Linked DNA regions of Oryzias latipes. The protein of the gene in region 2 purifies or fractionates together with the protein of the main gene of each other region. This does not show direct contact. Links are inferred from orthologs where the notes say so. Each region holds a gene or a part of one and is shown on either strand. Other genes may lie near its edges. The genes, in order: ccna2, anapc4, nek2, ccnb1, anapc7, anapc2 and anapc11.

The links.
Region 1: the proteins of anapc4 (region 2) and ccna2 purify together in Homo sapiens (affinity purification with western blotting; 3 studies listed by BioGRID). This does not show direct contact. The link is inferred for Oryzias latipes from reciprocal best matches to the Homo sapiens genes ANAPC4 and CCNA2.
Region 3: the proteins of anapc4 (region 2) and nek2 purify together in Homo sapiens (affinity purification with mass spectrometry; 6 studies listed by BioGRID and IntAct, with this or other methods). This does not show direct contact. The link is inferred for Oryzias latipes from reciprocal best matches to the Homo sapiens genes ANAPC4 and NEK2.
Region 4: the proteins of anapc4 (region 2) and ccnb1 purify together in Homo sapiens (affinity purification with western blotting; 3 studies listed by BioGRID). This does not show direct contact. The link is inferred for Oryzias latipes from reciprocal best matches to the Homo sapiens genes ANAPC4 and CCNB1.
Region 5: the proteins of anapc4 (region 2) and anapc7 purify together in Homo sapiens (affinity purification with western blotting; 14 studies listed by BioGRID and IntAct, with this or other methods). This does not show direct contact. The link is inferred for Oryzias latipes from reciprocal best matches to the Homo sapiens genes ANAPC4 and ANAPC7.
Region 6: the proteins of anapc4 (region 2) and anapc2 purify together in Homo sapiens (affinity purification with western blotting; 12 studies listed by BioGRID and IntAct, with this or other methods). This does not show direct contact. The link is inferred for Oryzias latipes from reciprocal best matches to the Homo sapiens genes ANAPC4 and ANAPC2.
Region 7: the proteins of anapc4 (region 2) and anapc11 purify together in Homo sapiens (affinity purification with mass spectrometry; 8 studies listed by BioGRID and IntAct, with this or other methods). This does not show direct contact. The link is inferred for Oryzias latipes from reciprocal best matches to the Homo sapiens genes ANAPC4 and ANAPC11.

What each region holds. Positions count from the first base shown.
Region 1 is NC_019868.2:207,888-211,816, reverse strand, and holds the start of ccna2 (cyclin-A2), read right to left. Parts: upstream 2,801-3,929; 5' UTR 2,433-2,800; coding exon 2,232-2,432; intron 1,925-2,231; coding exon 1,672-1,924; intron 1,575-1,671; coding exon 1,468-1,574; intron 1,398-1,467; coding exon 1,174-1,397; intron 1,099-1,173; coding exon 894-1,098; intron 816-893; coding exon 702-815; intron 527-701; coding exon 393-526; intron 1-392. Other genes in the region: bbs7 (Bardet-Biedl syndrome 7 protein), read right to left, coding at 3,584-3,717, 3,803-3,926. UniProt on the Homo sapiens protein: Cyclin which controls both the G1/S and the G2/M transition phases of the cell cycle. Functions through the formation of specific serine/threonine protein kinase holoenzyme complexes with the cyclin-dependent protein kinases CDK1 or CDK2.
Region 2 is NC_019862.2:1,190,204-1,193,683, forward strand, and holds the end of anapc4 (anaphase-promoting complex subunit 4), read left to right. Parts: coding exon 1-44; intron 45-133; coding exon 134-180; intron 181-256; coding exon 257-313; intron 314-384; coding exon 385-441; intron 442-518; coding exon 519-612; intron 613-707; coding exon 708-805; intron 806-881; coding exon 882-943; intron 944-1,020; coding exon 1,021-1,059; intron 1,060-1,142; coding exon 1,143-1,244; intron 1,245-1,315; coding exon 1,316-1,393; intron 1,394-1,465; coding exon 1,466-1,633; intron 1,634-2,214; coding exon 2,215-2,338; intron 2,339-2,644; coding exon 2,645-2,884; 3' UTR 2,885-2,980; downstream 2,981-3,480. UniProt on the Homo sapiens protein: Component of the anaphase promoting complex/cyclosome (APC/C), a cell cycle-regulated E3 ubiquitin ligase that controls progression through mitosis and the G1 phase of the cell cycle.
Region 3 is NC_019882.2:6,331,936-6,336,073, reverse strand, and holds the start of nek2 (serine/threonine-protein kinase Nek2), read right to left. Parts: upstream 2,801-4,138; 5' UTR 2,571-2,800; coding exon 2,475-2,570; intron 2,115-2,474; coding exon 1,897-2,114; intron 1,816-1,896; coding exon 1,575-1,815; intron 1,443-1,574; coding exon 1,360-1,442; intron 1,275-1,359; coding exon 1,148-1,274; intron 1,075-1,147; coding exon 840-1,074; intron 298-839; coding exon 243-297; intron 141-242; coding exon 73-140; intron 1-72. UniProt on the Homo sapiens protein: Protein kinase which is involved in the control of centrosome separation and bipolar spindle formation in mitotic cells and chromatin condensation in meiotic cells.
Region 4 is NC_019870.2:25,679,338-25,683,531, forward strand, and holds the start of ccnb1 (G2/mitotic-specific cyclin-B1), read left to right. Parts: upstream 1-1,394; 5' UTR 1,395-1,482; coding exon 1,483-1,503; intron 1,504-1,742; coding exon 1,743-1,874; intron 1,875-2,362; coding exon 2,363-2,479; intron 2,480-2,960; coding exon 2,961-3,155; intron 3,156-3,228; coding exon 3,229-3,387; intron 3,388-3,524; coding exon 3,525-3,761; coding exon of another isoform or gene 3,762-3,821; exon of another isoform or gene 3,822-3,845; coding exon 3,846-3,986; intron 3,987-4,064; coding exon 4,065-4,175; intron 4,176-4,194. UniProt on the Homo sapiens protein: Essential for the control of the cell cycle at the G2/M (mitosis) transition.
Region 5 is NC_019867.2:25,467,751-25,471,823, forward strand, and holds the start of anapc7 (anaphase-promoting complex subunit 7), read right to left. Parts: upstream 2,801-4,073; 5' UTR 2,679-2,800; coding exon 2,578-2,678; intron 889-2,577; coding exon 702-888; intron 1-701. Other genes in the region: ubiquitin-conjugating enzyme E2 G1, read left to right, coding at 3,498-3,540. UniProt on the Homo sapiens protein: Component of the anaphase promoting complex/cyclosome (APC/C), a cell cycle-regulated E3 ubiquitin ligase that controls progression through mitosis and the G1 phase of the cell cycle.
Region 6 is NC_019866.2:2,382,402-2,386,424, forward strand, and holds the start of anapc2 (anaphase-promoting complex subunit 2), read right to left. Parts: upstream 2,801-4,023; 5' UTR 2,592-2,800; coding exon 2,493-2,591; intron 2,094-2,492; coding exon 1,844-2,093; intron 1,782-1,843; coding exon 1,460-1,781; intron 1,388-1,459; coding exon 1,255-1,387; intron 1,195-1,254; coding exon 1,014-1,194; intron 939-1,013; coding exon 819-938; intron 467-818; coding exon 349-466; intron 242-348; coding exon 63-241; intron 1-62. UniProt on the Homo sapiens protein: Together with the RING-H2 protein ANAPC11, constitutes the catalytic component of the anaphase promoting complex/cyclosome (APC/C), a cell cycle-regulated E3 ubiquitin ligase that controls progression through mitosis and the G1 phase of the cell cycle.
Region 7 is NC_019859.2:4,486,005-4,490,207, forward strand, and holds the start of anapc11 (anaphase-promoting complex subunit 11), read left to right. Parts: upstream 1-1,403; 5' UTR 1,404-1,668; coding exon 1,669-1,777; intron 1,778-4,041; coding exon 4,042-4,187; 3' UTR 4,188-4,203. UniProt on the Homo sapiens protein: Together with the cullin protein ANAPC2, constitutes the catalytic component of the anaphase promoting complex/cyclosome (APC/C), a cell cycle-regulated E3 ubiquitin ligase that controls progression through mitosis and the G1 phase of the cell cycle.

The DNA.
Region 1 (3,929 bases), on a different chromosome or scaffold from region 2:
ATTCTCAGCTTAGAGGACAAATGCTACACATTTCTGAAACCATGTTCCTCCCTGCAGTGTCACTGAAGTGAGTAACAGGCCAAGGAGTTTACCATCAACAGTGAAGATGCTGGAGTCTGGAGCCGCCTTTTGTTTCCATGCAACTTTTCAGAATTATCCGATCATCTTAACACCTCTAATCTCGCGGTACAACTAAAGACACATTTTTAGCCATCATTTAATTGAATTTAAGGTTACTTATTGTAAAAAAAAAAAAATGTGGTTGGGAAGTTTTTACTGCTAGTTGAGCTCTCAGAAATTGTCAGATTCCTCTGATACTTTTTTAGAGTAATACAAATATTTTCCAACGATCCTTAAATAGAAGTACACAAAATCAAAGTACGGCAGCTCACCTGGAGGCCTTGTACTTCTCGCGGACAGACTGCTGGGCGTGCTGAGCGGCGCTCAGGAACATCTTGTGAAGGTCTTCGATGCACGGCATCAGGTCTACTAGCATGTAGCCCGTCATCTCTGCCAAGGATTTGGGCTGGAGCAGAGCAGAGAAAATGTCAGTGAACCAATTTTACATTTCCACAACCACCATGAGCCTCAGCCTGGCATGTGACAAACAGCCCCACGTCCCCATAAAGCATCTCAAACCAAAACATTCAAGCGTATAACCCTTCACATTCCTAACTTAAGTTGGAGGGAAATAGTCTCACCCAAGAGCCGCCGGTCACTGCATGGTTGGCGAGGATGTAGGCTGCAGCCGCCGTCTGCGATGGCAGGTACTTCAAGAAGGGGTCTGAATCTATCAAACTCAACTCCCCGAGGTACTGAGGACAGATCAAGCACCGTCAGAGCACATCCATATGCTTCTGTAGACCAACACGACGGACCACATGAACACTCACCATTGCCAAGCTTTCCACCTGTTTGTTGACGCCGTGGTGGCAGAAGTACTGAGTAAGAAACTGGTTTATCGTTGGTGCTGCCAGATCAAATGACAGGACTTTGAGCACCAGATGCTCCATCCTCAACACCTGCTTCTTGGTGTACGTGTCATCTGTGATGTAGACGAACTCTGCCACCTCAGGAGGGTAAATCTCTTCGAATTTCCTGCACATACAAAGTCATTCAACCTTTCCGAACCAAACTAGTCGTGTTTTCCTGGGCAGGATAATTGGCACATACGCAGCCAGCAGCATGGCAGCAGTCCCAACAAGCTGGAGTTTGCCCCTCAGGACGGACATCGACGAGAGGAAGCGATCAATGTAGTTAACGGCCAGATACAGCGTTTCATTGTGGAGCTTGTACTCTTCTCCAACCTCCACCAACCAGTCCACCAGGATGGCCCTCATGCTGTTTGTGATGTCAGGCTGCTTCTTCATGTAGCCGGCCTTCGGTCTGGTTTTCACCTGAAACAAATACCCGATTGTTGTAGCAGAGATGACAGGAGGGGAAGAAAGGAAAAGGAGAGTCTCTCACCTCCATCTCCCTCAGGTACAAATGAATTTCAGCTGCATATTCTGGGACTTCGTTGACATTAACTTGTTTGTCGTCCACCTCCACCAACGACATGTCCATGGGAGAATCTGAAAGTCATTTAGTGCACAGATGATGACACCTCACTTTGACACCAAAGCCAACATCGGTCATTACTAAACAAGCCAAGATTCTACAGCAGCCCACCAAAGCCGGCTTCCACAACCAACGGGACATCGAGGGCAGCCAGGGGCTGTCGGCATGTCAGGGCGTTGTGGACGGCCACAGGAGAGCGAGGGGCCGGGGCCCTGGCTCTGAGGGCCTCAGACACGGTCTTCTTGGTGCAGGCGCCATCAGGCTCATCCATGTGGATCTGGAAGGCCGGCTGCTTGACAGGCGGCTTTTCCAGGACGCTTTTCCCATAATCGTCAGCTTTACAGGATGAGGGTAGAGCAGAGTCCTGGAGGCAACAGAACACAAGAAAGGTGAGTTTCTGCTCTGAAGGCAAACAGCAGCAGATCTGCTTCAGAAGACAGAACAGTCTGTAAGGTAAACTAGGAGGAGTGAGGCTAAAATGGCGCACAGACTGAACATGAAACTACAAAGACCATCTCCAGAAGCAGATCTAAGACAGGTTCAGATGCTAAAGGCGAATGACTGTTATCACGGTGCTAGAACCGAGCCACAGCCGTGAGGAACCGGGAGCACAGCCGGATAACCGGCGGCTGGCGCCCCGCCGCGGAGCGGGCCGTGCGGCGGCATGCTACCTGCTTTGCGCCGCGGAGGCTTTGGGTTTTGTTCCGCTGGTGGTTCTGCAGAGCTCCCAGCACGGTTCTGTTGGCAGCCTGTTTGGGCGGAAGGTTTTCGCTGGCTGCAGGCCGGGCTTTGATGGCGCCTCTCAGCCTGCTGGACGGCATGTTCTCCTGGTTTTGGAGCTCACTCGCCGCGCTTCGGTTTGCCGCCGACATGTTTCCTGCAACAAACACTCGCTGCTGGCTTTGACCTTTGAACTCTTCGGGACCCCTCGTCGTTCGTAGCGGGGATCGGGTCGGGTGCTAGCCTGAAGTGGAGCCGAATAAACTCAAAACTAAACAGTTGAGATGGCAACGAAAAAACAGAACAGCAGCGCCACAGCAGAGGAGCGCGTGAGCGGTAGAGCGATTCCAAAGCGCGGGACACAAACACACTACGGTTCCATAGTCACGCGGGTCCACAGCACAACCGACCAGGACACGAACCACTAGCAAGCAGACATTTAGGAACAGGGTTCTGCTTTCTCTCAGTTCAAGTAGCCCGCGAGGATTGAACCAACCAATCACAAAGCGCACAGATGGTGACGCTGCAAAACTACTGGAGCCGCAGTGGTACAAATGTCTTGATTGCAAATTCAAAACCGGTTGGACCCGTTTGTCTGCAGCGGCACAGAGCAGCAAACGAAAGGAAACGTCCCTGCTCAAGCAGACGGCAGTCAGGACGACGTCCGTGGATTTTAACCGTCTGCAGACTCTTCTGAGCGTGTTTATTTACAAAAACTAAAATAAAACGACACTTTCTGAAGTGTTGTCAGATTTCAAGTGCTTATGAGCTTATTTGACCTGCAGTTAGTAAGGATTCATTTAAAGGAAAAGGTTCTCCAAATATAATACACTGGATTCTCTGTTTAAGGGTTTAATGGCCATTATAATAAAAATAAAGAAGAACAAAGCACGTCACTGAAGATGTGTTCAGTCATGTGTTGTGGGGATTGAACAGGCAATGAAAAACACCACAAAACATTTCTACATAGTTTAATATGGTCTGATCTTTAAAAAATCATATGACATCTTTTGACTATTTCATTTTTAAATAGTTTCTCACAGAGATTTTCATATAGAAATGCAGTCCGTTTAGCTTTGATTTCTGTCTATGAACCTGTGATATGTTATTAAATGAAAAAGAGGAGTCTGTATTAACTACCTGGAGGAATTTATAAAGTCTGGATTTAAGCAGAAATAATTGTGGATTGTGAAACCGACAGCTTCTGAAAACAGCATGGCACCATGACACAAACTATAACTGTCATTACATAAAGATGCAACATAGAAGCAGAACACGTGAATGGATTTTATTTCATCCAACCTCAAACATCATTGAAAAATTCTAACAGAGAGTTTAGATCATAGTTATCCAGAATCTCCAACAGAGATGACACCTTTGTTTTCACATTCTGGCCTTTGAACTTGAATTTATCAATGAAGAGGTCAGTGATCATTCCTGCAGGAAAAACAAATATAAAGAAATAGAAATTAGTGTCAGGAGACCAACAGAAATTAAGATAAATGTGGCTTCTGCAATGTACCATAAAGCCTCTCCAGATGTGCTGGCTGCTTCTTGTATTCCTCCAGAAGACTGGCAGATTCATCCAAGATGCTTCGATACTCTGGTATGAGAAAACTGGCGTTTCCCTCATGAACCTGAAGCTCCTG
Region 2 (3,480 bases):
GAGCATGAAAAACTTCAAAGCCTTTTTTCGCTGGCTGTATGTGGGTGAGAATGAACCTTTCCCTAATTTCATTTAAATCAACGATAAAAGAACAGCTGCATGTTCTGATGGATGTGACATGATTTCCCTGCAGCCATGCTGAGAATGTGTGACGAACACGTTCCACCAGAACTCAATAAGGTCGGTTTGAGCACAGATGTTTGGTTTTCACGTATTTCTGAAAACGTTTTACAACTTAAAGCTCTTAAATCCTCAGATGACTCAGAAGGACATAGCGTTTGTCGCTGACTTTTTGTCGGAGCATTTTAGTGAGGTAAGCGGTGAAAGAGCAGCTGCTCCGTTCAAACTTTGGGATTGTTTTGAAGAGTTTTATGGTTTTAATAGAACGAGGAGCTCTTTGATCGTAAAGGGAAATACTTCAACGTGGAGCGAGTTGGTCAGGTATGTGATGGACCAATCAGCTGGAAGTGATTGAATGACTTTGCTTGCTGATTGTTCCTTTGTGTGGACATTTACAGTATCTGAAGGATGAGGATGAAGACCTCATGTCTCCCCCCAACACCAAGGGGAACCAGTGGCTGAAGTTTTTAGAGGAGAGCTCGCACCTGAAAGGTCAGTCCTTTTTTCTGGAGTCCTTCAATTCTTTGTTGGGACACATTTTCTCCGTCGGTTCTGTAACCTTCTACCACTTTGATTGACTTTTGCAGAGAGCCCGTTGCTGTTTCCATCATATCCCCAGAAGTCTTTGCACTTTGTAAAGAGGATGATGGAGGGCGTGATCCAGCACTGCCTTCAGAAACCGGCTGTGGGTTTGAAGCGTCCCCGGTCTGCCTCTCATTCCTGTCCGTCATCTGAGATCATCCCGTCTGTTTCTCTTGCAGGAGGTCATTGGGAAATCTGTGAAGCAAGCTGCTTTTGTGCCCCTGTACACTGTGCCAGAGAGGTGACATTTGACTCTTTCTCAGAATGATGATTTCATGTGACATATCCCCACCATCATCGTTTCATTCTGTTTTGTAGCTCAGAAAACACACCCCGGCTCTTCGAACTCCCATCTTTGTAAGTGGGACACAGACATCGTAAGTTTTGTTTGCCTCAAATTGAGTCAGTGATGATCATTTGTCTTCTTGGTGTTTTCACAGATGGAACGATAAAAAGGCCAAAATGCATAATGTTGTGTTCTGCATGCCGGAGGTTTCACCCAGCAAGTTTTACCTGCTGCGCAAAGAAACCCACTCAAACAGGTGAACTGCTGGGAGCTACGTCTTTCTTGAGACATTTCAGTCTAATGAAGCTTCTTTTTTAAACCCTCCAGTCAAACTCCACTCAGTGTTGTGTCGTTTAACCTCACCCACCAACTTGAAGATCCAGAGGATGACAATGCTGCAGACCAGTGAGCCTTTCCTATGCCGTCCTCTTTACATTTGCCTTTAGAAGAGTTGCTCTAATAACTTTTCTTTTCCAGGCCAGGTTATGTCTACAGCTGTCTGGATGCTCGTTTCTATGACGATGACATTTTAACAGTGGTATTACAAGCATGTGAAGAGCAGAGCGGCTGGCGTGGTTTGGCTCAGCTTCCTCTTTCATCCAGTCTGAGCTGTGGGACCGACTTCAGCTGGCAGCCCGACATCAGGTGAGGGAGCCGTGTCCCCCTCATCATATGACCCCTCCCCTCAATAAACGTGTGTGGAGCCTGCTGGCCCCAACGTTCGTAGTTTTGATTGACAGATTTTGTGTAGCCTACTTTCAAGTAGTAGGGGTGTGGTCTTCCAACACTCCTGAATGGCCAGAGCAGTTGCTATAGAAACGATGACTCAGACTGACTTGGACCAATCGCTGCTTGCTGACATTGTCTGATTCCAACATGGCGGCGACTGGCTTGACTTCATTTGGTTGGAGCCAGGAGGAAGTGTTTTCTATGGGTGATGTCACAGCCACTCAGTCCAGTAGTTCAGGTCAAAATCCTCTTAACCTATTGGACAAACAGTGAAACAGTCTCAAGCATTTAATTTGGTTTGAAAGTTTCACGGCAGTAAAGCGTGTTTTGCTGCGTGTTCTGACAGACGGATCAGCTTCAGTAGACAGCATGAATCACTGAATAAAATGCTAACAAAAGTATAACTAAAAAGCAGTAAACCCACCGGGACTGGACTGACAGAATGGAACGTGTGTTGGGATGGAACGTGCTGAACTTTAACGTGTTTGTATGTTCAGGCTGGACCAGCAGAGCAGCACCATCCCATGCCAGACTCTGTTTCCAGGGACCCAGTGGCGTGAACTGGAAAACATGAAAGCTCAGTTTGTTGCCGTCAACGGAATCCGTAAAGTGGCGTGCGTGGTACGTCAAACCTCTGCTTCACTTCAGAGTTCACCTTTAGCCTGCTGCCTGTCCCGGTCCTGAGCAGCATGTGCTTTTTGGGTTTGATATGTTAACAAATCAGACATAGAATCCTCCACAATGGTGGTCATGTCAGAGCTTTTCTGATGGTACAAGAAAGAAATGGACAGTAGCTGAGTGTACTTCTGGGATTGATTTATGACTTCTGTTGCAGAGGAGTAAATTCAATCCCAATATTTCCTAACTGATTGAATGAATCAGGACCTACGGACAGTTTCAAGTCCTGTTTCTTTCTCTTCTTGGTAGCTGAGTTCCAACGTGAGGCACATTCGTGTTTTTGAGATGGATGTAGAGGATGAAGAGGACGAGGGGCTGGAATCTCTGAATGCAAGTGCTGACCAGGATGGGCTGGAACCGTCCGGGCCCAGGCGTGGGCCTGCAGAGGAGAACCCTGAGACTGACGGTGAATCCAAGGGGGGCCGCGGAGGTGCCCTTCAAAAAACCGAGGAGCATCTGGAGTCAGAAGAAGCTCTAAAAGTCCCATGACACCAAGAACAAGGTTCTTTGCATAAATGCTTAAAGTCCTGTGGTTTTTTGATTGTTTATTAATAAAAAAACAATCTGCTGTCAGCTATTTTGAAACTCACTGTTGAATCTTTTGTCCCCAATATTACGCCCCAAAATGGGTCAGCAGGGTTCCCTTTGAAGGTCAACGGCAAACCAGCTACAAAATTGCAGTTTTAAATAATTATTTGGGAACTGTAAGAGTGAAGTGGGAGTTGAACCAGACATTTATGTAATAATGTGAGGTGTGTTGGAGTTTCACAGTACCTGTTGGAGTTTTATTTAACCTTTATTTACCCAGGAATTGTCCCATGGATATTAAGAATCTCTTTTTCGAGGGAGTCCTGGCTAGGGGGGAAACAATAAATTACATTTACCATAAAAATGTCAACATTAAAAACATAAATAAAAATTAGAACTCATGTAAAACAGGTACAGTTAAAAGGGACTTTCTCCTCAAATCTCAGCTTGGATTTAAAAATATTCAGTGGAATGAGTTCTTTTAATTTCCATCTTTTCTGTAGAGCGTTCCATGTGGAGGGGGCAGAAAAGACAAAAGCCTTTTTCCCCAGTTCTGT
Region 3 (4,138 bases), on a different chromosome or scaffold from region 2:
TTCATTCATAAATTCATAGCCCAGCTGTATCTAAGTTCAGTAAGTCCAGAGGTCTTTGTTGGATTCCCCTACCTATGTCTTCGAGAAAGATCAGGTCCTTCTGCTGCTGCAGCTTGTAATTTCTCAGTAAACTCTCTGCTCTAAAACAGAACATAAAAAGTAAGAATTGACTCAAGGATTTTACACGATAATTCAAAAACCAGCAGTTGTTACATTATGCAACAGACAAAAAGAGAGACTACCTTGCAAGCCTTTCGTTTGTGAGCTGTTCACGAACACACAGCTGTTGCTCCCTTCCTGACAACAGAAAACACAATTTATTTGTACAAAAAGAGAGATTATTGTTGAAAACAAAGTTTAGAAAAAAACACCTTGCATTTCAAACTTTTGTGTGTGGACAGATGTGATGGCAACACTTTGGTTGAGAGGATGGATAATCACGTTCCGACTCCTCAAGCGTTTTATAAGGAACATCAGAAACAAGTACAGCAAATATAAAATCTACCAGATTGAAGCATTTGTGAATAAATGTATTAATCAAAGATTGCTTCGAAAAGGGCTGCTTATAATTATTAAGAGAGCAAGACACCCCAAACCCCTTTCTTTGGGATGAACCCATGCGTGGGAACAGAGAAATGTTTTCTAGTTCTTGTGCAATTTGGCAGCGGAACAGTTCAAGGCCTCAAATGTTGTTTCACAATTTCAGAAAAGTATCTCAGACTCTGATAAGTCAAATCCAAAGGACTGGTTTCTCATTGAATGGAGGCCGCTGCACTCAGAATAACCAAAGAACTATATTCTCCCCTTGATTTAGCCTCAGAAATAACTTAAAGCCTTACTCTCCAGCCTCTCCTCGCGCTCCTTCAGTGCTTTCTCCCTGTCCCGCAGAGCCTGTTCCCTCCGCCTGAGCTCCACCGCTGAGACGTGGGGCGCTTCACTCAGCCTCTGCGGGGGGCTGCTGGAGTCTGCCGACTTCCTTCGGGGTCGAACTTCTGACTTTCTCTGCTCATCCTCGACCACGACACTCAGCAGACTGCTCTGAAGAATAGACTCCACAGACGGCCTCAGGTAATCCTGTCAAAAAGCAGACTGGTGCTCAGCAGATCGTCTATTGCAGGATGAAAACAATCAATCCTTTATTTCAGACCTTCAAGTTGAGCATTCTGCTGATAAGAGAGTTCAGTTCCTCGGAATAACGGAAAGGAATTCTTCTAAACTTTCCTTCCCTGATCTTCTCTGCTAACTCCTTCTGGTTGTAAGCAGTGAATGGAGGCCTCAAAGAGGAAAAAATCCAAACATGAATTCATTAGATCAAACAGCCGAGGGAGCGGATGGAAAAGCTTAAAAAAAAAAACTTACGATAATGCGCAGAGTTCATACAGCAAACATCCCAATGACCAAATATCTGACTTTTCATTGTATGACATCCTATTTATTTGTTCCTGAATGAATAGAAAGTGTAAAAAACTAATCAATAACAAGTACAATATTTTTTTTACCTTGTAAATGTCCTTTAGAGATTTTTTTTAGAGAAAAAATAATTTAAAAAAAGCCAAAAATGTTAAATAACTTACTGGAGACATGTAGTATGGTGTGCCAACAAATGTCTTTGCAAAGCTGGTGTCGTGGTTCAGAATCCGAGCTAAACCGAAGTCGCCGAGTTTTACGTTCTGGTTTGCATCGAGGAAGATGTTGGCTGGTTTTAGATCCCGATGAAGGACGGTGGCTCTGCCGTCGCGCCGCCGGTGACACTCCTTTAGTGCCAGAGAAAGCTGCACCATGACTCGCAGGATAAACTGCTCCTCCAAGTACTTCCTGCCATTTAAAAACAACACATGATGATGCAGATAGAAAGAGGATGACTGCTTTTTCTTTCTTCCCATTTGCTCTATTTACCTCTCTTTGATACACTTGCTGATGAGACAAGACAGATCGCCACCTTCACAGTACTCCATGATGATGTACAGCATGGTATTACGGCGGTCTATAATGCGGTCGTAGTACCTCACAATGTTTGGGTGCTTGAGTTCCCTCAAGAGGTTGACCTCTGAGACCAGCATCTGTTTCTCACACTCAGCCATGGTGCCATAATCGAGCTCCTTCCACACAAGAATCTAGAGAGCAGAGATGCTTTAACCATCAAGAACATGTTCATCTTAGTCCTTTTTTCAAACTTAAAGTTCAAGTGTTTGAGTAAAAAATATTATGTTTTACTGATAAATGACAAAAAACATTTAAATGCTACATTTCCTTGATACTGAATTATGTTTAAAGATTTTTTCTTGTGAAATTAATGTCAGAAAAACTGTAATTTCCCAAATATTAAAGTACATTTGTGTCGTTATTGATTTACAGAGAAGCAAGTCATTGTTTTTTTTTTCATGACTTATCAATTAGATAACATTCACACCGTGTATTTATGTATCTTTATTTAAGAAAATACTGTATGCGTGTCTTGTGCCATAAATACTCACTTTCCCGTCACTCTTTCGTTTTATTTTCTGGCATCTTCCATAGGAGCCCGAGCCTATCGTGTACAGCACTTCGTAGTCATCAACACAGGACGGCATCTTGCCTTCGTCAACCGAAACCAACGTTAAAAGTTTCCAAACTTCACGTTAGCGTCAAATGTAAAGATAGGCCTTAGAAAAGTTGAACATCTAATTCAAGTAGTTACTTAAATTATGTTTTTTGCTCATCCAGATAATAAAGAAGTCCAAAGCCGATCTCCTCAAAACACTCGTGTTCTTTGGCATCAGTTGAAAACACAGGAAGTGCTGCTTCTCCGTTTAAATCGGTGCCAGAATTCTTACCTCTAATTGGCTCGTTCCCACGGGCACGACGGTCTCTGATTGGTCAAACAAGGACGCATTTGTTCACGTTGCTAAGAGCTGAAAACCCGCGAGATTAGAGCGGGAAGAAGCATGTTTATTCCCTGTCCACTAGAGGGCACCAAAAACAAGCAGTAGATTTACGGATTTGTTGACATATAATTGAACATACTAGATACAAATAAAACGTTTATTTGGGGAACGTGGGGAACAATTTGGGAAACAATATTGCTACAAAACACTTTTTTCGTATTATCCACATATAAATTGATTTTTCAAATAAAGCCAAGTGCACTTTTTTCTTTTGCATTTAAAATAACTAGTCACATGAGAACAATCCTTCGATTGAATTTAATAAATTTAACCCTGTCGGTAGCTTGTAAATGTACTTAAAGGTCACTGGCTCATCCAACAGCATTTTCTAAGCATGCATTCTAAGATGGATGGGAAGCAGATCCTACAGTCATCGGTCCCTTGATTTGACCTGCAGGGCAGTGAAAGACAGTGACCTCTCACAGTGCTCCTACATCTGCCATGGCTCTGAATTCACTTCATTGCTTCACTGCAGCAGGATGCCTTCTGGCACGACGGTTTAAGGAAAAAAATGCTGGCGTCACATTGTATTTTTCAGACTGAAACACAGAGCGAAAACATTCAAACGGCTTTGGATCATCTCTAGCATTGTGCACCTTTTCATCCCTTTTCTGGTGCTGTGACAGATTGACAGGTGGGAAGTAGCATGTTGGTAATTTCCAGCCCGTGAAATTGAAGCGTGACTGGAGCAAATCCTAACCACGACAGCTGGTTTTTGTGAACGTGTGATCCGTACTGGAGATGGATGCAGCGTCTGGGACAGTGGTCTAGCCTCTCAGTGGGGCAGCCAGCATAACAAGTCAGATTATCCCCACAACTCTGTCTGCTCTTGAGAGAGTGTTGGACCGGTCTGCCAAAAATCCCTCCGCCAAAGGTCACTGTTTCAAAAAGCTGGACATCAGCCAGGGACAGTTGTGAGGTGGAAGAGAGAGGAAGGAGAGACACCATTGGAAAACTGGCAGCTGAAGACAAGACGTACAGGTGGCTCAGGCCACTGTGATGTCAACTGCCCCCCATTAGAGGGAACGAGCAGAGCCCGAGCGACAATAACCCCCTCACCTGAGGCACAAATTGGTGTCGCAACAGTCGTTGTGACTTAAGACTCCTTTTTCTGGGTCCAGAAGCAGGAGCAGGAAAAGATAGCTCTATGGTTATTGCTACTTTTTCTATTTTTGTTGAATTTCATACAAAAATTGTGTTTTTTCCCACTAATT
Region 4 (4,194 bases), on a different chromosome or scaffold from region 2:
TTGTTTTTGGTCATGTTCAGAGGTGATAACTTAAAAATGATCAGAGCTGTATTAGTTTTTCGTTGCAGCAGAAAATGATTGAGCTGCATGAAAACATTTAAAAATGTGTTGACAGCATGCATTTTGTGTGAAAGGCTTCAGCACTAGAAGGTGTTTTCAAATTAAAAGGAGAAAAAGAAAATCAATTTCAAACCTGCTGATCCTCTTTGAGGTCACTGGATCCTTTGGTGAAGGCTGTACACACTCCAGATGGGTTACCAGTCCATTGCAGGGCCACACAGTCACAGACATTGTGAATCATCAATTAACCTAAATATGTTTGCACATGCCTGAGTGCCAGGATAAAACCCACACATGCTTGGGGTAAACTTGTAAACTTGACTCAGAAAAGACCCGGCTGGGATGTGAGCCAGGCCCTACTGAGGCAAAAGAACAAATCACTACACCACTGTTCTACTTTAGTAGCGAATACAGGACTAATGAGCTTTTTTGTAAAAAGAAAAAGATATATATATATGCATTCTTTTGCACGGAGGGATTCAAACATGTTTTAACATAAAAAATGACAATAAACTGAGAAAATCATTAAGTGTCAGAATAAAATCATTTTTAGGGCAACATTCAATTCTATTAGCAATAAGTGGTAGACTTTGAGTTTATTTGATTAAGTATAACTGAGCATAACAAGTATAGCCGGTATACACATGTAGTGTAGGGAATATACTAACTGAATACATCTATAGACTAAATTGGAACATTTTAAGTTTACTATATATACATTTATCTTCTTCCGTTTTGTACCTTTTGGGGTCACAGGGCTGCCGAAGCCTTTCCACATGTTACGGGCAAAGGCAGGGGACACCCTGGACAGGTCGCCAGCCCAGTCTGTCTAAGTTTAAAATATATAGATATAAAAAGTAAACTTCAAGTCCACTGCCTCACTTTTAGCCTACTTGAAGTGCATTTAAGGATACTAAATTTTGTTAACCCTTAACAGATTTTGTACTTTCTACTATACATACATCCAACCTATAGCAGCATGCTTGGTAAAATGATGCTCAAGTATACTTAAAAAATAAGCTTCAGTGTACTGTTTGTTTTTGTAAAGGATTGTTTTTGAGATCCTCTTGATTCTTCTTCTTTTTGTTTTGCGTTAAAAAAGTGTTTTCCTTGTTTAGATGCAAACAATAAAGTAGTGTATGTTTTTATCTACAAATGTTTTTATTTTAATAGCTCTAGAAGAACGGAGTTAGATATCCGGGTAAGGGAAGTGACCTAAGAAGAGCGTGATCACGTGACCCAAAGTTGTCTTGGGAGCGCATCTGACACGTACTCGTTTATCCAATCAGAATCGCCGCAGCCGCCCAGCGCAGCCAATCGGTTTGCAGCGAGCGAGGATTTAAACCACGACTCGTGCGTTGGAATCTTCACCTTCTCCGCTTCAATTTCGTGGTTGTTTGTGGAAGAGAAGCAGGCAAAGGCATGGCTCTGAGAGTTACCAGGGTAAGTCTGAACCACGTTACACGTTCCTCTCTGTTTTTACCGGAAAAGAACGATTTCAGGAAGCGCGTCTTTCTCTGGTTTTAAATGTTTTGACGTGTTTTCTGACTGGACTGTCATGTGGCTGTATGTGAGCGGAAGCTAGAGGTCAAATATTGTTGGCTTGAATTTATTGAACGTGCTGCTTCACCACTGCAGGTTTATCTCGAGCGCGCCTTGTTTTGTCCGTTTTCTCGCTGCAGAACCGACTGGCCTCCACCCGGGCCGAACTGGGCGGAAAGACGTGCTCGGTGGCCGGGCCTACACAGAAGCCCCGCGCGGCCCTCGGAGAAATCGGAAACGTCGCAGTTATTAACAAAGATGTCACGAAAAAGGTAAAATCTTTTTTTTTTTTTTTTAAAAATCCTATATAAATGTATTTTCCACTTATCGAAGTAAAGTGATTAACCTTTTTTTGGGGCAAGTTTGGTGTAGAAGTGAGGGGTTGGGCCTGTTCTGATGAGAAAATGTCTACTGTGCTGAACTGGGGCCCTTAGTCAAGTATAAAATGCATCCCAGGTTGGAGGAGCACAGTTAACCTGGAACTATGTCTAAGAATGTACACCATCAATTGTAAATTTAAATCTTTGCTAAAAAAACAACAACTTGAGTTTGAATGCACATTTGTTAAGAGAAACTCTTGTTACTGCTGTACTATCAGCTCAATGCGCAGAGCTTCAAAACCTGTACAGCTAGGACTTGTGGCTTTGGCCTGCAGCTGTAGAGATTTCCCAAACTGTGCAAGAAGCAAAGAACTCAAATGAAAAGATCCCAGCTCTGTAAAATGCATAGCAGTATTTGGGTTTGACCTTTCTTTCTTCAGACTATCAAGACGGAGGTTGCTAAGAAGACAAAGATCCCAGCTAAAGCTGAGAAGATCGAGCTACCAAAAGCTGCTGTGGTCCCTGTTAAACCAGCACCTGAAGTGCAGGTGACTGAGGTGAGTTGGTGTCATTGGTTGTCACACACCTGGTTGGGACATTTGTCCTGCGTGGTTGACCCATCCTCTGGGGGCAGCAGTGAGCTCCAGGCATGGTTGTGCTTCGGAGCCATATGGTGGGTTAACCACTCCCAATCCAACCCCTTACAGACCCACTCTGATTGTGGCCTCTTTCTTATAAAAGATTCATCTAAAGAAAATGAGATTGAAATTTCATTTCTGATTACTTTATTCAAATGTTGTGAATTGAGAAAAAAAATGCTGTTTGTTTGGATAAGGGCTTATTTGTGAGGTAGAAAATCCCACCGGCAGGTCACCAGCTCCCTTCTGATGTGTCCACTTGAATCAAGCAGGGAGGCTTTGGTTCCATCCGAAGTCTTTGCTGTGACTCCACTGGTTTTGAACCCTCTGCCTACCAGTCTTGGGGCAGACGCTCTACCACTAGGGTGACGTGTAATGATTTGACATGACCTTCTCACAGGTGCCAGCCCAGGCTGAACGTGCATCCCCCACCCCCATGGAGACCTCTGGATGTGAGTCTGCTGACCTCTGTCAAGCATTTTCAGATGTCATCCTCAACACGGCCATCAGGGACGTGGATGCAGATGACTACGACAACCCCATGCTCTGCAGTGAATATGTTAAGGACATCTACAAGTACCTCCGTCAGCTTGAGGTCGGACTAAAACCCGGAAAGCTGCATTCCTGATGTGTGCCGTTTCCCTAAAGAGACGTTTGTTCTCCTGTAGATGGAGCAGAGCGTAAAGCCAAACTACCTTGAGGGTCAGGAGATCACCGGAAACATGCGAGCCATCCTCATTGACTGGCTGGTACAAGTGGGCCTCAAGTTCCGTCTGCTGCAGGAGACCATGTACATGACTGTGGGAATAATCGACCGCTTTCTTCAGGTGAGTCTGTCAGTGTTCCTCTACAGACTAGATGTGCTCCATAATTCAATAAAAAAAAATAATTTCATAACAGATGTCCTCTAACTGACTTGTGTGCTGAGATTTTTCTTTTATTTTGTCTGCGGTCCTTTCAACAGGACCATCCAGTCCCCAAGAAGCAGCTGCAGCTGGTTGGCGTGACCGCCATGTTCCTGGCCTCCAAATACGAGGAGATGTACCCTCCGGAGATCTCAGACTTTGCCTACGTGACGGACAGGGCTTACACCACTGCTCAGATCAGAGACATGGAAATGACTATTCTGCGAGTGCTGAAGTTTCAGCTGGGCCGCCCCCTCCCGCTGCAGTTCCTCAGAAGGGCCTCCAAGATCTATGAGGTGTGGCGCGGTGTCGGTGCGGCAAACTGTTCTCTTCCACCACTGCATGTGCTGAGGTGAAGGTGGGATTTTATTTTTCTTCAGGTAACTGCTGAACAACACACCCTGGCCAAATACCTGCTGGAGCTCTCCATGGTTGACTACGACATGGCTCATTTCCCGCCCTCATTGGTGGCGAGTGCAGCTCTGGCGCTGACTCTCAAGGTCCTGGATGCAGGGGAATGGGTGAGTGACACTTGAAGGGTTTGCTCTCATCGCTGACTTGCCTGGGACAGCATTGGATATGAATGTCTTCCTTCCCAGGATGTGACACTGCAGCATTACATGGAGTACACAGCAGAGACCCTGACACCTGTTATGGCGCACATCGCTAAGAATGTCGTGAAAGTCAACAATGGGCAAACTAAACACATGGTAATCTTTTATTTTTTAA
Region 5 (4,073 bases), on a different chromosome or scaffold from region 2:
CTTTCAGCCCCAACCTAAACATATTAGTGCAACAAAAATAGCTAGCAATATTGGAACTATCCAACCATCTTAATAGTTTTGATTCAGATGCCAGCTTGGAGGGGGAAAACAAAGAAGTACACGGATCTATTTGTCTGCAAGTGGATGTATCAGATTGGAGCGGAGCACGGAGCTTGTGGCCGTAACAAATACAATCTTTTTCAAACGGCATTCTTTAAATCTGCTCCTGATTCACCAAGATTTGAATAAAGAAGTACTCAGAAATGCTTTTTTAAGGTTAATTTTTCTTTACATATGTCCTCCATCAAGAAGAAAATGCCACAAAAAAATGTAAAAACTGTTTTGAATATTACCTGAAGATGAGGAAAAACAAACCAAGAGGTGCCCTTCAAGAGTCACTTGAGATAAAGACGTCTGCTGCCAAAAATGTGTCTATGCAAGTGATTAAAAGGTAGTTTCCCCACTCTAGGATCAGTATTGGTCATAGATCAAAAGCAGCAGGCCAGCAGACACTTTCATGGTCTTCAGTGTTATTATTTTCTTGCATATATTGTAGGGATGCAACCATTAACTTCTGAGATCTATCTATCTATCTATCTATCTATCTATCTATCTATCTATCCATCTATCCATCTATCCATCTATCCATCCATCCATCCATATTTTTTTTTCCTAAATGTGTTGAAGCATAAAGCCCTCACCTGTGTCTGCATGTTGGAGGCTGCTCCACCAGCTGATGTGCGAACCTTGGATGTTTTGCTGAGCACCTTCTTCTGCTGCAGCGCCATGCTGTACTTGCAGGCCGCATTGCGATATTCCTTATCGTGAAAAATCGCATCGGCGTGGTAAACCAGCAGTTGGTACTTCTGAGCCGGTGAGAATAGTTCACTGGAGACAAAAACGAACAAGTTTCATTTAAAAATAACTACAAAGCACAATACCTCTATTTTATGGCACTAGCTTCGCATTTAAAGTGTGCAACGTTACGAAAACAGCAGCTGTATAAAAAATTACATTTTGATTACGGGGAGTTCTGGGGGGTATTCCAGAAGCATGTTTAAACTACCCTGACTTTAAGCCTGAACTCTGGCTGAAATCCGCCTGAACTTGCTTACTCTGGGTATGTCGGTTCCAAAAAACCGGATATGAGTTAGCGTAATTACGCTCCACTTGGTAACCCTGGGTTAATGCACGTGCACAGCAAGTACATAAAGACATTTTCAATGGATTGCCGATCTACGGAGTCACCATGGAAACGCGTGGTGAAAAAAAGAGAGCGCTATACGTCAGTGAGACGGAGTCGGAGATTTGAATGACGGCGTATGAAGATTAAAAAAGTAACACGGCTGCATCAGCAAAAGAGAGTTTCTGCTTGGAGAAAAAGAACGGACAAAGTAAACACAAGAGTTTCTATCTCATTTCCATTGTGATGTGTATATATATATATATATATATATATATATATATATATATATATATATATATATATATATATATATATATATATTTATAAAACTTATCCAACTTAAATGAATTAATTCAATTGGTAACAAGAAATTGAGTTAAATATATTTTTTACGTCTATCCAACTCAATATTTTTTTTAACTCAAATTTACATATTTATCTAACTAAATGTCATATCACTCCAATTCAATTAAATGTTTTTTCATCTTAATTTATTGTACTTCTTGAACTCTCATGTGTTTAAGTTTGAGCCTGCAGATATGCTCATTTTTACAACAATAAAATGCATGAATCAAAACAGATTTGCAACATGACACGTAACTGACTTAACAAAAAACAAAAAAGATTTATCTCAACTAAAGCAAATAATTAAGTTAGATCAATGTAACAAATGTTATCTTTCCAACATCCATATGTGGTCTTATCACCCTCTATGGTGGAAAAAGTATTATCTGAGCTTTTTCATCCACTAAATCATCTTCAAATGGACACACCATGCTGCCTTCACCTCTCTGAAAACAAACTAACCTTCAACTAAACCTGTTCCAGACCGGGTTATGTTCAGAGCATGAGTTGCTATGGCAACTTGACATACTGTGAAACAGACCTCCACTGTTGGTACCGAAAACTGAGATAATCCGCTTCATTAGCCTTAAACTTGCCGTGGTAACTAGCATAACCTGCTTTCTGGAATACCCCCCTGGTACATCTTCTTGAATATAAATGTGGCGAAAGAACAAATAGTAACATCTAATCAACTCCGGAAAATGAAAACATTTGATTAATGTAAATAAAGAAAACATCAATACATGTGAACAAAGTGGGGGGATTTGAGTTCAAACATCCCTCAATGACACTTCACCAAACTGTTATTGCCAAAGTCTCCACATGGCTATGTAATGGAGTGAAGGCTAACTGTATGCATCTCATAACACAAGCTAAGCATGTAGAAAGAAGCTGTGTAGGCTGCGCATTCAAACAATAGCGTAAAGACTACGACAATATGTTTTTTTCATATATATAAAACTGTCGCGACAACGGAGGAAAACCACAAAACACTTGCGTAGAGACTCATTCGGGAAATAGACGGGTCCCAGTCAAGCCATACTTACGGATTGTTATTGCTCATCGTCAGCAGCAAACTGCTCACAATGCGAACATTGGAGTGAAGGCCGGCCGAAGCCATGTCCCGAACGTGATCAATAACATTCATTTTACCGAAAAAATGCAGGCTCTTCTACAGGTTTCGGTGTGAAGTTAGAACTTTTAGCTAAAAAATATCTAGCCTCTGATGTATTAAATATGGCGCTCAGCAGCCTTCCTTCCGTGCACTGCTGCATTTGTAGGTCTGTACAAATTAGTTTTAGCAGACGATTCACGAATGACAGGTTAAGAGCGCAATCAATTCACCCTCATACAATCTTAGTATTTTTATTTAAATCGTTTTAGTTTACACATTCATCATGATGAACGTAAATTTAAACATTTGTTACTTTGTTTTTGTTCTTTGTAACAGTCTTCAATGTGAATTTGATATTTCCGATGGTTATGAACGCATCTTCTGCTTTTCACTGTATGTTTGTATTTAGCTCAAAAATCGACTTTCGCGTGAATAATTGAAAATTAAAGGCTTACTTTATAATTGTTTATTTTTTTCAACCATGTATTATTATGTTCGTGTGCCGAACGAGTTCTTCAAACATGTAGATGTCAACAAACATACGGAATTCAAATATCCAAAAAGCCCCAACATAAAATTTCTAAATTGAAAACATTTCAAACAACGAGGTATTCTGTGTATTTTTAATGCAGTCCTTTTGTAAGTCTAATTCATTGGCAGAAAGATATTTTAACAACACGAACGCGTGGTCAGCTTGAAGCACGCATGCGCACTTAAGCTAGCACCTGAATCTTGTGTCAAAACACGGAGCCAAGCGGCGGCAGCAGCAGCAGCATCGCAGGACCTCCTCTCTGTGTGCCAGAAGATATTTGTCTATACAGACAGTTTTTTTCTTAGTTACGTACGCGTACCATGACCGAACAATCAGCATTACTTCTTCGAAAACAATTGGCAGGTAATGTGATCGCATTCTTTGATATTAAAATTACAGGGAGAAAACAGCTAGTTATGTAGCAGCAATAGGCTAATGCTAGCTTTTGTGAAGCTATGTTTACGCTGTAAGATTCTGGTTAACAGGCGCTTTAATGACCGAAATTATCAGGACGTGAGCAATCTACTTGAGTTAGATGCCCATTTGTGTGGCAAAATTATGATTTCAACGTCACGTTGGAATAAAAGATAAACTAAAACCCACGCAGACCAGCAACGCCGACCGTCCTAGCAAGCTAGCAACTTCGGCGTTATTTAGCGGGCAGAACAAAGGAATAATGAATTCAGGGGCTCACAGCCCTTTTGAGTTTAGCTTTACCAATGATACACATGAATACCGTAATACGTTGGGCAACACACAAACATATATTTTCTTAGTAAACGTAATTGAAAATGTGAAACTCATTATTTAGTTATGTAAGATAATATCTAATCACTTTCTCTGGTAGGATGATAGCGGTACCCGTTGGCATTTTTTAAGTATCGAACGAAGCCCAC
Region 6 (4,023 bases), on a different chromosome or scaffold from region 2:
GGTCAGAGGTGAGCCGAAGGGCCGCAGCGGAGCGACTACCGTCGCACCACGCCATCACCGACCGGGCACGGCGTCCGTCGGGTCCGGGGTCCAGTCCTCCGGGTCGGTGCCTTCGTCGTCGCTGTCCTGCATCTCCAGCGTCACCGGGTCTCCGCGGGACAGCTCGGAGGCCAGGTCGGTGCAGCCCTCCGCATCTCCGGTCAGACCCGCCACGATCTGCCGCACCGTGTCCTCCCGAGTCCTGAACAGCAAGAGGCAGCGCTGCGGTTTAGACGGTTCAATGAACACATTTCTAACTGAAGCGGGTTTCCTGAAACCGCCTGTCAGACCGCAGACACGCAAACTCACCTGAGGTACTTTCTGATTGGCTGACAGGCAACCTGCAGGATGACCATGGACGGGTCCAGCTCTCTGAGGGCTTTGATGGCTGAGATGTAAACGGTGAGGATGTCAGAGGTGTGAACTCCTGCACACAAGTTGAGGATGAGGATTATTTTTAAGAGAAAAGCATTCAACAGAATCAGGAAACCTTTGGAGGATCCAACAGGACAGTCGGTCCTCCACAGGTTCTGGAGAGTCGTGACAGAACTTTACACCCACTGAGCTACAGGTTTTATTTCCCCTCACTGCTGCTAAGCCGCCGCTCAGGTAGAAACCGGCATCTTGGGTACCGACGACCTGCTGATAACGACCGGCTTCTGTGGTACCGGCCCGCCGCTGACATCTACTCCCTGCTTAGCTACATACAGACCTGCTGCTCGGTTACCAAACCACTCGGTTACCAAACCACTCGGTTACCAAACCACTCGGTTACTTACCCGGGTGCAGCAAACGGCTTTCGAAGGCAGATTTCAGGGAAGTGAGGAGCTGCTGTCGCTGGTTAGTTCTCTCCAGGCAAAACTTGAGATCCTCAATCGCAGCTTTGGATTCTGGGAAATCTGCACGAGATATGGAGCAAAGATGTTAGACAAAAACAAACAAAAAAAAAACTCCGTCGGGTTGGTGAGAGTCACCTCTGATGATGCTGAAGAGCTCCTCGATCCTCATGTTGACGTAGATCCTGCAGAAGAACTGGTGCATGTGGCACCTCCACTGCTTCATGACCGGACTGGCCAAAGATGCTGGTGCCGGACCGTCTCCCGACCCCTCACAGGCAAAGACTTTCCCCAGCCAGCCGAGCACCAGCTCCAACCACTGCAAGGCGGAAAGGTTCAGACGGAGCCGACCAGGGAGCTGCTACAACGGATGCCTCACCTCCTGGAAGTTCAGCAGGAAGGAGCGCTCGTACTCGCCGCGGCAGTGCTGCTCCATCCGCTGCTCGATGAGCTTGTGGAGGATGGAGGTGACGGCCTCTGAGCTGACCCAGTCCAGCAGCTGCAGTTTGGACCTGCAGCCACAAACAGCAGGTCAGACTCTGACAGACCACAGGAGCTGCAAGGAGCTTCGCTCTGGTTCTCACAGGATGTGGCTGAGCTGCTGCAGCTGCTCCAGGGCCTCCAGACACCAGCACTGGTGAAGCGGGACCCCACAGCCCGGACAGGCCCCTCCCTCAGAACCATCCGGAGCCTCTGCCCCATCCTCGGCGTTCCCCTCCTGCTTCATGTAAACAGAGAAGGTCCGGCTGTAGAACTCCAGCACACGCTCCTGCAGGACAGGAGATGGCGAGAAGAGCAGGAGCGCTCTGATGGTCGTGAAGGCCTGCTCCTTGAGCCCTTTGGGTCCCGGCCCGCTCAGACCACAGCGGCCCTCCTGCTGCCACGCCCCCAGCTTCTCCAAACCACCTAAGGAGCAGACGTGTCAGAAATGTCCGACAGCAGTGGACCCCCCGGTGTCTGGGTCTTACTCAGGAAGGGTTCCAGGCGGTCCAGCAGAGTCCTGAAGGCGGTGAGGAGAACCCAGGCCCGGCCCCTCTCCTCCAGCTCGTTCTCCGGCTGCTTCAGTCCACACCAGAACTCTGGAACCACGGAGGACGACAAACGCATCTGCAAGGTCTCCAGCAGCCACACCCCGAGAAGAGGAGCCAGACCCCGACGGCAGAGCAGAGCCAGGCCGTCCACGAGGTTCTGATCCGACACCGAGAAGCCAGGAGACACCTGCAAGAGAACCCAACGCAGAGCCTCAGCATCCGTCCAGAAGCTGCTGTACGTGCTGATGCCAGAGCAGATCCTGGGCTCGGATTGGCTTTTACTTTTAGTTCAAACACAGCAATGAAGAACTTTGAACCAGTTTTTTCTAAACTCAGGTGTGTTTGAAAGGAGGAGCAGATTTAAAAACGCCTTCAAAGCTTCATCTGTGACTGATATACAAATGAAAATATCACGCATATAGATGCAGTCTAATGAGTCTGATAATGATCCACAGATTGTTTTAAATGTGTGAGATTCATCAAAGTGAACTACCACCAGATTTGGAGACGTGAATAACCTCGATAAACTGACGTCTCACTCATGGTTGGACTCCGACACTGAGGTTCGGGGTTCGGGTCCACTCACCAGAGCCGCAGAGACCGAATCCCATGCAGCCGCGACACCCTGGACCGGTTCGGGTCCAGACATTTCCACAGACTCCGAGTCTTCCATCATTTCCTCCATTTTATGGGTTTTTCTCCTCAATTAACAAACCGGGCGGAAGTCCAAACAGGCGCGTGCCGGTTTTAAGAGGTTTAGTTGAAGGTACAAATACACATTATTTCTCCAAAAACACAGTAATATACAAAGAAAAAGATACTATTTATTAACAAAACAAAACCACGTGACCCCTCCTACTGAATGGCGGGTTCAGATCTTCTTTGACTTCTTCTACTGTATTTAGCGCTGAAAGATGGCAGTGCTGCCACCTACAGTTGTTAATGCGCATCGTTCTGTTTTTTCTTCGTTGTTTTAGTTGTTTGCATGATGTACGTGCAAAAAATTTAAAAGTTGTAAAAAAAAGTAGTCAAAAGTATTTAAAAGAAGTCTGTTTTGCATTTTGCATTTTTGTGAACAACTACTGCCCTCGTGTGGACAGAGTGGAAAACTGCAACACGTAATGTTTGTAACAGCAACTAAGAGCTGGAGAAAAATTATTTACCAAATTAAGTTAATCTTTATGTAAAATAATCAACATCGATCAAATTAATTTATTCAAAATTAAATGTCTCAGGTTGTAATAAAAAAGCATATTTATCTTATCTTATCAAAATTGTAACATTTACTAAAGTATTTACGAAATAAATACAATTAAATTAATAACTCAGAAAAAATGATTATCTTGTTGAAAAACTTAAAAAAATCAAATTTTACCCGATCAAAAATGTTTTTACGTGTGAGGATGGGTTATGACATGATATCTGCCTCAGTGGGCAAACAGATACAACAGAACAATGATTTATAATGGAAAAACACACAAAATGTGATCACAGTCAAAATCCTTATCGCCCTCTTGTGGACAAACTGGTGAACTGCAAGACAAGTTACATCCACTATGTATTTTCACGGAAACTATTTATTTTCACGTTTTTGAAAATGTCTCTGCATTTTCTTTACTGAATAAAATATAAGTTTAAATGTTAAAATAAACAATTAATTTCTAAATAAACTGTAATTTTTTTACCGGTAATTTGGTTTAGCAGGAACCAATTACCCTGTTTAAAAAAAAATTCTAATTAAGTTTGCAAACATCTTATCTAAGTTTTCCCTATAGACAGACGGATTAGTGGTTAAACATAATCTGTCTTATTATTAACTGTGTTTGCTTTAATTAACATATCCTTGCTGTTGCACCAACATCAAAACTGTTTTGTTCGTTTAAAGAAAAAACAAAAATTATCTGCCGACAAACAGCATTTACTTCCTTAAACGTTGTACTGAGCTATTTCCAATATGACATTAGGATTTCATATTTTAAATGTAAATGTTGAAAAAAATCTATACTTCTATTTTAACTTAACCTGAAAGAGGAGGCTGTAGTTAACCCCCGGAGCATAAAAATCTAAGTCTCACTTGTTTTAAAATATCAGCATTAATGTGATGTCACACAAACAAC
Region 7 (4,203 bases), on a different chromosome or scaffold from region 2:
ATAACTGATTGCTCTTGGAGACAAATAAGCTGTAAAATATGATTACATTTTTTGCCATCAAGAAAATCTAAACAGACTTCAATCTAATAGTTTTCTACATATGTTTAGGTTTTGTTTGTTTGTTTTGCAAATCCTTATTCCACAAGGTGTGTAAGACTGAAATCCAGGGATGGTCAATGGTTATTTATATTACATATAAATGACTCCTTAAAATAATTATAGAAAAAAAATCAAATAAAATAATTATAGAATAACAAAACCTCGAAAATTTAAATAATTCCAAATATTTAAATTTATTATTTTTATTATTGTCACAAATTACATTTGGGGGGGGGGGGGGGGTTCTATTTGTACCATGTCTAATTCATGTCTAAGCCCTCACATTTTGAAGAATGAGCTGTTTTTGCTTTTAAATGATACTCAATGCAAGTCTTCTGGTTTTTATGGTGTTGACATTTGGAACTTGATTCCGTAATAAATGTAATAATAATAAGAATAATAATTCTTATTATATTTATTATTATTAAAATAATAATTGTCAACACGGCCAAAAAGTTCTGGTTCTTTCCTAAATTGCAAATTCTCCTGGTGTTTTGTGGGTTTTTAATGAACTCTGGCTTCCTCAAATAGTCCATAAACAAGCCTCATGGACTAATTGGTGACTCTGAATTTAACTGGCAGACTATAATCTTTGCCTTTGTTCTGAAGAAGCTGGGAAAGACTTCAGAAACACCAGTGATTCTGCACATGTATACATTTTGATTTCTTAATTTCAATTTTTTCAAAATATTTGTTGTTTAAAAGCAAGGAGTGTGCGTATCTGTTTAAACGTTTATTTGCCACCTTGATGTTTCACTGTCAGTCTCGTCAGAATTGAATTGAAGCCATCATAGTTATTTTATGTGACTGTGTCTGGGTTGTGAAGCTGTGTTGTTAGATCTTATGTGTCTTTTCTATCTTATAGTTACTACAAATCGCTTTTCCCTTAAAAGTTAAAGTTATTTAGCGTTTATTAACAAAAGAGAATCAGACACATTTAAACAAATGGCTCAAAGGAACACAGCAAAAAATAATAATAAAAAATAAATAAATAATAGGAAAAACTAAATTACAAAGCATTACCATTTAAAACACAAACTAAAAAGGAGGGGAGCACAAAGGGCATCACCAATTATTCATATTGTATTTTCAAATAGGGTCCACGTTTTTAATGCATTTAAATTCTCATTTAAATTATCTAAATTTTAAATAGATTCGTTTTTCCCCCCATTGTTTATCCTATTTTATTTTATTTTTGCAAGAATTAGAAGAAGTGATCAGTTTCTTACCATTTGTCACCGATAGAGGGCGACATTTAAAATCCAACGCAGTTATAAACCAAATGTGATGACACCGGAAGAAGAAAGTTGCACCGCTGTTTGAAAGAACGGCAGCATATTTTTGCGTTGTTTTACACTGTTTTACATGGCTTAGTTCTAACGAACAGTACCTTTTAAAATATTGTCAAACACTTAAATTACACCCCAACTGTTGTTCCTTCGTTAAGCGAGCAGTGTTAAACAGAGCAGGTCGCTTCAGGCTCCGCCGGGTCGACATAGGCTAGCCTAGCTTGCGTGTCCCGTTTGCCGCTGAGCTCCGTGGGTTTCCCTGATCCGTCTCTCGCTGAGGATGAAGGTGAAGATCAAGCAGTGGAACGGAGTTGCGTCCTGGTTGTGGGTGGCCAACGATGAAAACTGCGGCATCTGCAGGATGCCCTTCAACGGCTGCTGTCCAGACTGTGAGTTAACGCGCCCGCGTGCAGATGTTTAATTCCTGTGAAGAAAGAAGTAGAAATCCCACCATCGGTTTAAAGAAATCTTTGTGATGTTTATGTTTCCTCGTAGCATAAAGGCAATTGAGCCGTAATGGCGTTTAAAACCGTATTTGATAGAAAACCTTGTAATTTCACATTTACTCTGTCTGTATTACCTAACAAACTACTTACGACTTAACAATTTTTTTTATATAACTTTATTGAACAAATGCAAGTATACAACATAAAGAACAATCAATGCAGTATACAACATACAATCAATATACAACACAAACAATGTTAAACAGCCAGGGGAGTCGATTCATTAAATATTTGCAGAGAGTTACAAATTTCAATAGTTCTGAGAGCTTTTTTGTTGGAGGAAAAGGATATTGATTTTATGTAAAAAGTTACATCTTTAATGAATTGTGGGAAGTATGGTGTTTTATTAGTAAATTTACATTTATGTATGTAGAATTTTGCCAGAAGAATTAATAAATTAATTATAAAAAATATCTTTTGTTTTTTGGGGGTCCTGAAAAAACAAAGTAATACATTTTCCCATTTCAAGGAGAAATCTTTGAAGACATGAATAATGATGAATCTACTGAACTCCTTCCAAAATCTCCGTGTGGACAAACAGTGCCAGAAAAGATGAATTACTGTTTCTGGGTGATCTCCACAGAAACTACAATCAGTATTAATATCTTTTTTAAATTTTATCATATAATGTTTGGCAGGGTAAATTTTATGGAGAATTTTAAAGGATACTTCTTTTACCTTATTTATTATTAAATACTTATGAGGGATCGTCCAGACTGCTTTCCAGTTGATATCTGGAACAAATTGATTCCAATAATTTAAAATATACGGGGGAGCGGTATAAATCTTTTGAAATAATCTGCGTATTTTTATATTAGTAGTACGCCCATATGAGAAGCATATTTTTCCTACCGGTGACTCATCCGCATTGGATATTGTATTTTGATTAGGTATCAAATTATCAGTGTTCTTAAATAACATTACTATTCCTGAGGGGATAGCCTTCTGCACCATTGAAAACTCTTGTAAAGTAATAGGTAAATTATACTGTGATAGGAATTCGTTATAGTTTAACAGCTGCCCCTCCTTATTAAATATTACGACTTAACTAATATTTGAGAATCAGAGATGTGACTACGCATGCGCGAACATTCTACTTAGTCTTGTGTTTGCCATTGTCACAAGTACAATGCAATGTAGCCGTTATGATACATAATTAAAGGGAAAATAACAGGACCACCTGCAGAAATGCTGTTTTCCTCTAGGTGGGTCGGTTAATAAATGAAGTTGATTAGTTAATTAAATTGCCTCTTCGCTACAGATGGGATGTATTTCATCCCAATCAAAGATGGATGGATGGATGTAATTAAAGTCCTGATTTTAACTAGATGACTGTGATTTGCTATTTTTGTGAATTATTGTCTCATCAATAAGAACTGGATTATGGCAACAATGCAAAAGAAATATATAAAAAGAAACAATTCATTAGGGGGGGGGATTGTATAAAATAAATGAGCTCACCTTTAGGCAGCAAATCAAATTGTGCATGACTTTAAATTATCATTATACTAAATGAATCAAATGTGATTTGTGTGTATTGTATGCATTACTGCGAAAAAGTCTCTTTGATTATGAATAATTAGACTAAAGCAGCCAGCATTGTCTTGTCATCACTGTTCATTTTATTCTTTATTTTCTAATCAATGTATTACTATATCTGAAATGGGTTTGATATATACATGTGTGTTGGTAGTTGTTTTTATTGTATTCAATCATTTAATCAATCAAATGTTCTCGTTTCATCCTGTTTAGGGACAGCAGATGTGAAATAGCATCATGGCTAAAATTGGACATAATTACATCTTTTAGTCTCTGGACATATGTTCAGTAATGTGTCCATATAAAATAAATACAATAAGATAAAATATATTTATCTTATTGTATTTATCTGCAGTAAATATCTGCAGACTTAAGAAAATCAGCTGTAAACATTCATTTATCAAAAGAGATTCCCATAAACAGATTCATGACACGTTTATTGTTGAGGATGAAGTCAGTCGGTCATGATGTGGAGATCAACACCATCACTTACAGGAGTTCGGATTCTTATTTATAAATTGGTGATGTAACATGCCCCATATAACTTTGACTTCGTGTCCATCAGCACACCCCAGCTCGAGTTAAGCCATGCTTCTCCTCATCTGCAGGTAAGGTTCCCGGAGACGACTGCCCGCTGGTGTGGGGTCAGTGCTCCCACTGCTTCCACATGCACTGCATCCTGAAGTGGCTGAACTCCCAGCAGGTGCAGCAGCAGTGTCCCATGTGTCGCCAGGAGTGGAAGTTCAAAGAGTGACGTGTCACGGTTCAGA